Linked DNA regions of Ovis aries. The protein of the gene in region 1 binds, or shares a complex with, the protein of each later gene. Links are inferred from orthologs where the notes say so. Each region holds a gene or a part of one and is shown in the gene's direction. Other genes may lie near its edges. The genes, in order: CRHR2, GNA11 and UCN.

Region 1 (3,645 bases):
TTTATACCAAGAGCCACGCAGGGCCGACAGGAGAGAGCTGTGGGAGCCAGGTGTGCTGGCGACACCTGGAGCCTCTTCTGCCCCCGAGGTCAGGACGCACTGGGTGGCCATCGCTAGAGCAGCCGCATGCCCCAGGCCTCCAGCTGCCTGTGTGTCTATCTGTCTGTCCAGCAGAGGAAGTATGACCTGCACTACCGAATCGCACTCATCGTCAACTACCTGGGCCACTGCGTGTCCGTGGCAGCCCTCGTGGGTGCCTTCCTGCTTTTCCTGGCCCTGCGGTGAGCCACCCCACCCCTGCTTTTTCTCCGCCCTCCCCGCCATGGCATCCCCTTCACCCATCCCAGACATGCTCACCTCCACTCCGGCAACCCTGGGGCCAATGGACAGAAGGGGCCAGGGGAGACACCAGAGCACTGACCACTAGCAGGTATGCAGAATGCAAAAGGGGTGCTGGCTCTGGAGGACTGCCTTGCCTTCATCCCAAGCTAAGTCTCTCCCTCACCTCGGGTCAGAGGGAGGGGTACAGGCCCAGCTGACCCCTGTCCCCTGCCCCAGCTGAGCTCTGAGCCCAGGTGCAGCCTGTCCCGGCTGACAGCTGTCCTGGGTCTCGCACAGGAGCATTCGCTGTCTGCGGAACGTGATTCACTGGAATCTCATCACCACCTTTATCCTGCGGAATGTCATGTGGTTCCTGCTGCAGCTCATCGACCACGAAGTGCACGAGAACAATGAGGTCGTGGGTGGAGGTTTGGGGCTGGGCCCCGGGGGGCTCTGGGGGCTCCCACCTCTCTCACCCCATCTTCACATGCGGACCTGAACCTGAGCTCACCTCTACCACATCATTGTCCCTCCAGAGCTGGGGGTCGGGGAATGGGGCTCCAGATGGGGTCTTGAGAGCAGCTCAGACCAGACACCAGACTTTGGTTTATCCTGTTCCACTCCCCGTCTTGTGCATTCAGCACCTCCCTAAGGTCCCTTAGAGGAAAGGGGGCTGAAATTAACCTCTATTGAGCTTTAGCTCACTTGATTCCAATCAGAGAGTTGTAGGAATTTTCCTACTGGAATTTTCCAGACATGGAAACCAAGGCTCAGAAAGGTTAGATGACATTGTTATGATGCCTCTGCAACTGGGCCGTCAGGCCATTGAGCAGAACAGCACATTAGCTGCCCACCCTGGATTTGTGTCAGCCGCTGTTATACAGCATCCAGGTTGTGAAACAGAGCCATGCACAGAGCTCTTCTATCCACTATTAGAGACTGCTCAACACATTGTCTTTGGATGGCTAGTTCTGAGCACACACCCAGCCTGGCTTGCCTTTTGACTTGGCCCCTTGTTGAGCCTTGCCTTGGCATCAATGGGATTCAACCAGTTTGGGGTGTCGTGCAGCCCACTGTTGGCTTGTATTGACAAGGCATTGTTAAGCTTTGGGAGGGAAAGCAGGATTTGGAGGAGAGGATCTTTGGAGTCCCTCCTCAGCAGGACTTTCTCAGAACAGGGAAAACAGACAGCCACGTGGAGCCTAAGACTGGGGCTGGGATCATGAGGGGAAGCCACAGAGGCTGAGATCAGCTCAGCTGATGCTCTGACAGCCAAGGCTATTGGGCTGAGCCGTCCACAGTCCACTTCCCACACTGCCCACGCTCTCAGCTCCGAGGGTGCCCTGGGGACAAATCCCCAGGAAAAATGGCCAGGTAGGGTCCATTGAGAAGAGGTCTGGCCTGAAGCCAGACCTGGCCATGGCACACGGTGGCTCTGGGCAGGCTTGTCCTCTGAGGGAGTGGTAGTAACTCTGCTCAGAGGGACGAGGACAAATTCCCCTCGACTAAGGAGGCACGTGGCAATGGCATTCATTTCATGGTGCCTGCCTTTGCCACCTCCATCTCCTGGAACCAGCCTGTAAGATGGCATTGTCTTTTTCTCTACAATGCAGTGAGATTCAGAGAGGTATGGCCACTTGCTAGAGGCCCCAGCATTAGCGAGTCTCCCTCAGTAGACCGCTGCTGCTGCTAAGTCGCTTCAGTCATGTCCCCATAGACAGCAGCCTACGAGGCTCTCCCTCCTGGGATTCTCCAGGCAAGAAGACTGGAGTGGGTTGCTATTTCCTTCTCCATTCCAGAGACAGCTGCTATCATGCTAAGCCCAGGATTTCCTAAACCCAGGAATCTGGGAGGATCACCTCCAGAGCTGTGGCTCACCTTCACAGACCCTGTACTATTTCAATAGCAGTTTTCTTTTAATTGACTCACTATTTTTTTTCTGCATGAAATTTCATAGTCCGTCCCTAAATGGAAACCAGGCTGATTTGCTGTGAACTGAAGGTGATCCTCGAAAAAATAGGCTTCCCAGGTGGCTCAGTGGTAAAGAATCCGCCTGCTGAGACAGGAGACATGGGTTCAATCGATCCCTGGGTCAGGAAGATCCCCCAGAGGAGGAAATGACAACCTGCTCCAGTCTCCTTGCTGGCAAAATCCCATGCAGAAAGGAGCCTGGCAGGCTACAGTCTATGGGGTCGCGTTACTGGGCTACTGAGCCCAATACATGTGCTGGAGAAAATGACAGTGATACACAGCAGTGCTGTTCAGTTCTAGCCTCTCCCTGCAGAAAGCTCAGAGCCAGACTCCCACTTTCTTTTATGAAGAAGGAGATTAGAAATCACCAGAAAGAAGTCAGACACCCTGGTTCCAGGGGAGCCTGGCCCCTTAATCTGAAAAACTGAAAGAGAAATGATGAAGGATGACGTTTCCCCGAATGAGACTCGAGAGTGTCTAATTCCGTGTCCGTGACCTAACTCAATGACTCCCCTCTGTCAGCGCTCGAGCTGTGCACTGGGGGGCTTGGCTCCAGGCACCTGCTGACTGCCGCCTGCCTGTGCAGGTCTGGTGTCGCTGCGTCACCACCGTCTTCAACTACTTCGTGGTGACCAACTTCTTCTGGATGTTCGTAGAGGGCTGCTACCTGCACACGGCCATTGTCATGACCTACTCCACTGAGCGCCTGCGCAAGTGGCTCTTCCTCTTCATTGGATGGTGTGAGGGTCCCGGGGGGCCTGCAGGGTCGAGTGGGGAGAGGATTCTGCTGACAGGGTCACCTCCTTTCATCTTGGGTCCAAGGACGGGACCACATTGCTGTCTACCATCCCCAGGACAGCCTGAGGAGGCAGGCACTCTCCTCCATATAGACGAGGGAAAAGCAAATGGTCCCTCCAAGAGCACAGTCCACAAATGGTCCTCCTCTTCTTGCTTGGAGTGGCTGATCCAAAGACCTTTGTGTCTCTCCTCAAAAGAGAAGCTGGCCAGCTCCACTTCTGTATCAAAAATCTCAGAAAATCACACTGTCCTCTCATCTCTCTGACCTGCTTGGAGGGGATAGCTGAGAGTGGGGGAGGGGTGGGGCAGGGGTCTAGGAACAGGGGCCCCCAAGGTCCTAGATGGCCTGCAGTTGAATGATTGGAAACAATGTCCTAGCCCTGTGTGGTCCCCCGACTCTGCTCTTCAAGAGGGTGTCCTGACCATCTCTCTGTCCACTGCAGCAGTGTCTGTCCTTCTTTCAGGTGTCCCCTGCCCCATCGTCATTGCCTGGGCCATTGGCAAGCTCTACTACGAGAATGAACAGTAAGTAGGACTGGCCAGCAGTGAGCAGGT
Region 2 (3,645 bases), on another chromosome or scaffold:
CTCCCGCAGGGGCTGGCGCTGAGCATGGCTGACACAACCGTTAACTGGTGGGGCTGTCCCTGGGGGCCTCTGTGGCCACCACTGCCCCCCGCCCCCCGCCCCCTTGCTTTTCTCTGTTCTTCCTGGCAAAGTGACGCTGCCATGTCCCACTCTGGTCCCGCGGTGTCCCTTTTGCTGTGTTCTACCTGGTTTAATTGAGATGCGCCCTGAGCTGTGTTGGACTCGGCACAGGCACTGTGACGTGATTGCCAGTCAAGGCCATCTCGCCCTGTCACCTCACCAGTGCCTTTTGCTCCTGGCCTGGATCACGGCTCTGTCTTCACAGCGGCTTCTCTGCGCTGGCAGGATTTGGGCCACATGCCCTATCCAGGCCCCCCGTGTCTCCAGGGTTGATCGTGTTTCCAGCTTCCTTGGGGTCCATCTTCCGTTTCTCGGTTGGGGCGTGTCCCACTGGCGGTGTCTGTGTCGGCCCCTTGGCCATCCCTGTTGTCCTCGGCCGCTCTCTGGCCTGCATTCAGGGCTCCTTAGTGGTCACTCCCTGCCCGCAGTCCCTGGCTCTGGGTGCAGGCCATGTGCTGGTGTGTGTGAGCCTTGGTGCTTGGCACTGCCCTTGGGGGGCAGTGTGGGGCTGCTCACTCCTCTGGTGCCGGTTCTGAAGATGCTGGCTATGTCTGCCTCAGAGGCAGCGCTCTCTGGTCTCCTGGCACCCTCGCACTCACGTGGTTCACTTGCCTGTCCTGCAGTTGAGGGGCCTCAACACAAGAGGCTGCCCTCTCTACCTTGGCTGACCTGCGGCCTGCAGGGGCTTGGGCTTGAGTGGCCACCGTCTGGTGTTTCCAGTGAGAAACCCGTCCAGACAACCAGCAGGGCATGTATCTTTTTACAGTAGAATTTTATCAAAACCAGTGATTCTTACCCTGGCGATCCTGCCCCCAGAGGACCTTGGGCCCTGTTGGGGAACATCCATGGTTGTTTCACTGAGGGTAGGGGCATCAAGAGGGTGGGGGCAAGGAGACTGCTCCACAGCTCATAGAACCTGTGATGAGCCCAATGGCAGCGGTGCTGGGAGGACCTTGGTCCAGAGGAGACCGCACTGGACATGGTACTCCTGTGTGCCACCACCTCCTGCCCACCCCCACCCTACCCCGTGCAATGATGGTTCGTGGATCTCTCGGGAAGGTGTGGGGTCATCCTCTCCTGCTCCAGAACTGGGGGGCCTTCGTGAGAGTGGGCAACTGGCCCTGGTTGGTGTTGTGCAGAGATAGGAAGGCGAAGGGTGGCATAGGGGTAGTCACCACTTGGAGACAGAACCAGACAAGGACCGAGGGCCTTGATGGATATCCTAGAAAGGGCGGCTGCATGAGGCTCCCTCTTTGTCCAGCTTGAGTCTCGGGTCTCCCCATGGGGCCTCCTGCAGTCAGTTATTCAGACGCAGGTGGAGGGCCTCCTGCTGCAGGACAAGGTGGTCACTCAGACCACAATGTGGGGCACTCAGAACCTGTCTCTTCCCCAGGAACCCGCCTGAGCAAGGAGGCGGGCAACAGATACCTGAGAGAGACCCCCGCAAGCATGGTGATCGGTCCCAGCGCAGGGGGGCTCCTGTCCCCTGCCCATGGCACAGGTGGCTGTGAGCCCCACAGTATGTGGAGAGCATGCAGCCCAGGCCCCCGAGTCAGGGTGAGGGGCACAGGCCACTCAGGGTGAGGAGGATGAGCCTGGGCAGGTGGGCTGGGGTGAGTCTGGGGGATTCTGAGTCCCCAGAAGGGGGCCCTGGGCCTTCGGTCCATGGGTGAGTGGGACCTGCATTTGTCATCAAGTAGGGATTGAGGCAGTGCGTCCTTAGGGTGTAGCGTTCTCTCCTGCTGTGCAGTAAAATCACCCTGTAGCTTAGTAGCCGAAAACCATAGGCAGGTTCTGAGGAGAGGGTTCCGGCATGGCCCCTCACACGGCTCCTGTCTATGTGGGCCCCTGCGGAGCTACCCCCCAGCCCCTGAGAGAGTCCCAGAGAGACCAGGGAGCCCAGTGCCCTCTGGGACTGTCTCGCAGTGCCAGGCTGTCCTTGGTCTGGTTCTGTGGGTTGGAAAGGGGGATCAGGCTCCGGCTCTGCGAGGGAGGTGTCACAGAGATTCCTGGACACATTGAAATGTAAAATTGCTGTGGCTGTACTTGGGGGTGAATGAAAGTGGGGAGATGGGTTTGCCGCTTAGAGGTGACAGGGCAGTGAGGGGCTGAAGCAGGAGAGGCCTGGGGAGCGCTGGCGCCCGTGGGGCCGGGTGGGGCTGGCGCCCGCACGCTGTGCACTGAGTGAGAAAGGGGAGGACGAAGAGGCCCCCGGGGTCCCTCTCGGGGGTTGCAGCTGACTCTGGTCCCCAGCTCTCAGGAGGTAGAGCCTCTGAGCGCCCCTCCCTGAGGTGCGCAAGATGCCAAACTCATGCCCCGAAGGAAAGCTGTTCTGGTTGGAAGCTATGGAGGAGGAGCAGCTAGGGATTGGTGGGACACTGCCATACAGGGGTGCTTGGGACCTGGGAGTGAACCTGCAGCCACCCGCAGTTAAGCAGGTGGCGTCCGGGAGAGGCCAACTTCACTGTTGCAGCCTTGGGTTCCTTGGCTGCGGCCGGAGTTGATTCAGACCCCAGTTGCTGCAGGTGCAGCTGCCGCTCCCCTCCTGTCCCTGCCCACATCATCGTCCTGACCTCCTAAGAGGCTCGGTTCCCTGGCTCCCCGTGTAGATGTGGGTGTGCAGGGGAGGACGCCTGATTCTAGGGGCAGCAGCGGGCCAGGCCAGGCGTGTCCCCGCCTTGCCCCCTCATGGGTGGGGCTCCAGGGCTGGGGTCTCACTGGGCCGTTTGCAGGCACGGGCGAGAGCGGGAAGAGCACGTTCATCAAGCAGATGCGCATCATCCATGGGGCGGGCTACTCAGAGGAGGACAAGCGGGGCTTCACCAAACTGGTGTACCAGAACATCTTCACCGCCATGCAGGCCATGATCCGCGCCATGGAAACCCTGAAGATCCTCTACAAGTACGAGCAGAACAAGGTGAGGCCCAGTGCTGCTGTGCATCCTGCAGCCGTTCACAGCCTGTCCAGCAGGCCTTCCGCGTGCGGAATCGGACCTTTGGGACCCTTCCTCTTTCTTTTGTAATAGCTTTACTGAGAACATTTACATATGAAGTCATCCACTTACAGTGTGCATTTCACTCATTTTTAACATATTCATGGCATTGTGCAACCATTATCTCTAATTCCAGGACACTCTTATCATACCAGAAAGAAACCATGTCCCCATCAGCAGTCACCCCTCCGCACCAACCGCCCCCCCCCGCCACCCCTGTATCCTCCTGCCCCAGCCCCTGACAACCAGGAACCCACCTCCGTGTCTGTGTGGATCGTGTCTGTGTGGATCGGCCTGTTCTGGACATTTCCCGTCGGTGGAGTCACCCTGTGTGTTGTGTGTCTGCTTTTCTCGCTGAGCGTCATGTTCTCAGGGTCCGTCCACATGGTAGCGAGTGCCAAGGCTTCTCTTTGTGGCTGAGTCATGCTCTGTGTGTGCATGGACCACAGCTGTTTATTCATCATCCGTTGAGGGACACGAGGTTGTCTCTACTTTCTGGCTCTTTCGGACATGTCACTGAGATGTTCGTGTGC
Region 3 (3,243 bases), on another chromosome or scaffold:
ACTCCTACCTGTCCTGGAAGGCACACCGGCTCTAAGTCGGCTTCACTCCGTCACTTCCATCTTGTAGTGATGCACCTTGACCCTGGAAGGATCAGACCACCTCTTCAAAGTGGGCACATTGGTCTTCACAGGGTTCGGTGGCTGGTCAGAATTTAATGGGGTTAGCACCCTGAAATGGCCCATTTCACTCTAAAATGTAACCTGACTCCTATTGAAATGGCTAAAACGCACCACACAGTAGGCACTCCATAAATATTTGTTGAAACATCATTTTGTCAACTTTAGATTATACGCTCATCCTGGAAGATGCCACTTTTCCCCAGTCTTCATAGACAGCTGTTTTCCTAACCCTTCCCAGCCTCAGTGTAGCTCCAATTTGGGGGAGATCCCCTCAAACTCTCTATAGGGTGCCTCTGTAAATATATTTCTAAATAGGTAATCTGGAAGCTGCAGAGGCAATGAGTAAGACCCAGCAGAAAATGACTGGGGAGTCTCATTTTCCAGGGTTTGGAAAGAAGTCTGGAGACCCCCAAACCCCAATCTTCTATTACAGATGAGGACACTGAGGTCCATAGAAGTAAAGTGACCTGTCCACACTGTGAGTTAGTGGCAGAGTAGAAACACGAACATGTGCTATCATCATTTGAATGTTTGTATCTCCCCAAGTTCATATGGTGAAAACCTAATGCCCAAGGTGATGGTATCAGAGGTGAGACCTTTGGGAAGTGATTCGGTCATGAGGGTAGGGACCTGGTGCTTACAAAAGAGGCCACCTGAGAAGACAGGAAGAAGCAGGTCCTCAGTGGACAGTAAACCTACTGGTACTGTGATCTTGGACTTCCTGGCCTCAAGAACTGTGGTGAAATAAATGCTTGTTGTTTATAAGCCACCCAGCTTTTGATATTTTTGTTATACCAGCTCAAAAAGACTAAGAAGCCAAGTTTTCTTACTTCCTACTCAGTGATCTTAACCTAGAGGTCTGCGATAAAATAATATTGCTGCTGTGATTCCCAGGAGAAAATTTAACTTGGCTAAACTTCAGCTTTGAGGCAAACCAAGAAGCAGATGGATCAGCCTTTGTTATCTGAAAGCACCCCGGCTCGAGAGGCCCTCTTTTTTAGGCACGTCGGACAGACAGCCCTAGGATTTAGATCCTGGGGCTGGAAGAAGATCAAGAATCCTGGCAGCTCAAACTGCCTTTTGGGTAGGGTACCATTGTGGTAGCTGAATGCTAGCAGTGCCATCCTGACTGCCTCCATTTATAGAACAGATAGTTGGGGCAAGGGACTGGATCTGAGCAGCACAGCATTTTCCCCAAGGTCTCTGGCCCCTTTCAGAGGCTGAGCACAAGGTCAGCACCATGGACAGCACCACCGTCCTGCCTCCCTTTCCTGTTCCAGAGAAGGTTGGAGATCTGGACTAGTCTGGGGACTGACCGGTCCCCCTAGTCCCTGCTGGCTGTTCTAAGTGAGTGAAGGACTCTCGTGGCTCCCAGAGCAATCTTTACGCCCCAGAAGGCTTCTCTTTCTCTTGAGTCCAGTGTCATTTCCAGAGACACAAAGTCTGGTGTCCTCCGGCGCGCTCCTGGGGTCTCGCAGCCATAGGGTCGGACTCAGAGTTGCGGCCGTCATTGCTCTACAATCAGTGCATGTTCCTCGCTGACGTCAGCCGGAGCTGTTCTGGCGCTATATAAGGCTGGCGAAGGTCCCGGGACAGACCCCGTGTTCCCCGTGGCGCCCTCAGCCCTCCCCGAGGGACAGAGACTGGAGCTCCATCCTGCAGGGTGCAGAGGCTCTGCTCTCCTGCGAACTGTGAGTGGCTTCTGCGCGTCTGCCCAGACTCCCTCAGCACTAGGACAGCGCTCAGCTCACCCAACGCGACACCCCAAGAAGGAGGCAGGGAGAAAAGGGTGGCACAGGACTGGGAGCGGCTGGGGCTGGTGGGAAGGCTGTGGGCACCTGACGGCAGTCGCAGGGGCCGGGCAGGGGCGCTGGACGTGCTCGGGAAGGGGAGCGGCGTCCCCTGAGACTGCCCGAGGCGCACCTCACACTGCGCTGCCCCTGTGTGTCCAGGGCCGGCGGGACCATGAGGACGGCGGGACGCGCGGCATTGCTGGCCGCGCTGCTGCTCCTGGCACAGCTGCGCCCGGGGAGCAGCCAGTGGAGTCGGGAGGAGGAGGCGGCGGCCGCCGGGTTCCGAGATCCGAGTCTGCGCTGGAGCCCCGGGACTCGGAACCACGGCGGCGGGGCCCACGCTCTCCTCTTGCTGCTGGCGGAGCGCTTCCCGCGCCGCCGGGCGGAGCAGGGCCGATGGGGATCCAGGACGGCAGGTGAGCGGCAGCGACGAGACGACCCTCCCCTGTCCATTGACCTCACCTTCCACCTACTACGGACCCTGCTGGAACTCGCGCGGACGCAGAGCCAGAGGGAGCGCGCCGAGCAGAACCGCATCATATTCGACTCGGTGGGCAAGTGATCGGCGGGTCTCGGGCCCCGACAATCTCGACCCCCATGCTCCACCTCAGGGTTGAGACGTGAGCGACAGGAACTGACCAAGTCCTGCAGGGCTAGAGCGGCCTAGGGATACCCTGAGCACTCTCCGCGTTACCGGTTTTTAATAAAAGTGCTGAAGAGCCGTTGGCCTCTGTTGTGGGGGCGCGGGGAGCCACAGAAGGGTGTGAGCCCGCGGGGAAGTGGGGTCTCCCAGGCCGGCGAGAGGGAACCAGATGCTGTGGGAGGGCTCCGTGAGAACCGCTTTCTGCCAGGGTCCTGGGGTCCCCATCGTCTCCAAGTCTCCAGGAAGTCAAGCCCCAGTGTCGCCGCCCCACCCCCCTGCCCTCTTCTCTTGGCTCTGGGCTCGCGAATCCGTGCCTAATGTCAAGGAGGTGCCCCATAAGGGTTCGTTCCGCTTCACACACCCCACCCCCACCCGTCCTCGCCCCAAGAGGTCCCAGATTTGGAGAAGGGCAGGATGGATGGTGATGCTATGTCTCCGAAGCAGAAGCTCAGAGAGTGAGCAGTGAAAGGAGCTGCGGGTCGGGACGCATTAACTCTTTATTGAGCCCCTCCCCCGCGGCGCCACGCCGGGCTGGGTGGTACGGTGGTCTCTGCTCAGGTCGTTCACCATCCGAGCGCCAGGACCCGGGTGCGCAGGATCCGCAACAGGAGCGAGTCAGTGCTGGCCTGTGCCTGGGAAAGAAAGCTCAGTGGGCGGGCGCTCCCAAGAAACAAGGCAATTCCGAAG

The links.
Region 2: the proteins of CRHR2 (region 1) and GNA11 are in contact, whole or in part, in a cryo-EM structure (PDB 7TRY), measured with the Homo sapiens proteins. The link is inferred for Ovis aries from reciprocal best matches to the Homo sapiens genes CRHR2 and GNA11. Residues at the interface, in NP_001874.2 of Homo sapiens: Arg148, Tyr208, Leu209, Ala212, Ile213, Thr216, Glu220, Lys293, Lys307, Ala311, Phe358, Tyr359, Phe362, Asn363; in NP_002058.2 of Homo sapiens: Arg37, Ile348, Leu349, Asn352, Leu353, Glu355, Tyr356, Asn357, Leu358.
Region 3: the proteins of CRHR2 (region 1) and UCN are in contact, whole or in part, in a cryo-EM structure (PDB 7TS0), measured with the Homo sapiens proteins. The link is inferred for Ovis aries from reciprocal best matches to the Homo sapiens genes CRHR2 and UCN. Residues at the interface, in NP_001874.2 of Homo sapiens: Phe68, Asn69, Gly70, Val71, Tyr73, Ile101, Leu102, Asp103, Asp104, Arg107, Asp110, Tyr113, Leu117, Asn120, Trp166, Leu169, Gln170, Val172, Asp173, His174, His177, Glu178, Thr188, Phe191, Asn192, Phe199, Phe256, Gly257, Lys258, Asp265; in NP_003344.1 of Homo sapiens: Asn84, Pro85, Ser86, Leu87, Ser88, Ile89, Asp90, Leu91, Thr92, Phe93, His94, Leu95, Leu96, Arg97, Thr98, Leu99, Leu100, Leu102, Arg104, Thr105, Ser107, Gln108, Arg111, Ala112, Asn115, Phe119.

Annotation. Positions count from the first base shown.
Region 1 is NC_056057.1:67,214,901-67,218,545, forward strand, and holds part of CRHR2 (corticotropin-releasing factor receptor 2), read left to right. Parts: intron 1-171; coding exon 172-281; intron 282-618; coding exon 619-736; intron 737-2,878; coding exon 2,879-3,032; intron 3,033-3,554; coding exon 3,555-3,615; intron 3,616-3,645. UniProt on the Homo sapiens protein: G-protein coupled receptor for CRH (corticotropin-releasing factor), UCN (urocortin), UCN2 and UCN3. Has high affinity for UCN.
Region 2 is NC_056058.1:18,490,826-18,494,470, reverse strand, and holds part of GNA11 (guanine nucleotide-binding protein subunit alpha-11), read left to right. Parts: intron 1-2,852; coding exon 2,853-3,037; intron 3,038-3,645. UniProt on the Homo sapiens protein: Guanine nucleotide-binding proteins (G proteins) function as transducers downstream of G protein-coupled receptors (GPCRs) in numerous signaling cascades.
Region 3 is NC_056056.1:34,382,501-34,385,743, reverse strand, and holds UCN (urocortin), read left to right. Parts: upstream 1-1,013; 5' UTR 1,014-1,811; intron 1,812-2,072; 5' UTR 2,073-2,085; coding exon 2,086-2,475; 3' UTR 2,476-2,635; downstream 2,636-3,243. Other genes in the region: TRIM54 (tripartite motif-containing protein 54), read right to left, coding at 3,172-3,188. UniProt on the Homo sapiens protein: Acts in vitro to stimulate the secretion of adrenocorticotropic hormone (ACTH). Binds with high affinity to CRF receptor types 1, 2-alpha, and 2-beta. Plays a role in the establishment of normal hearing thresholds.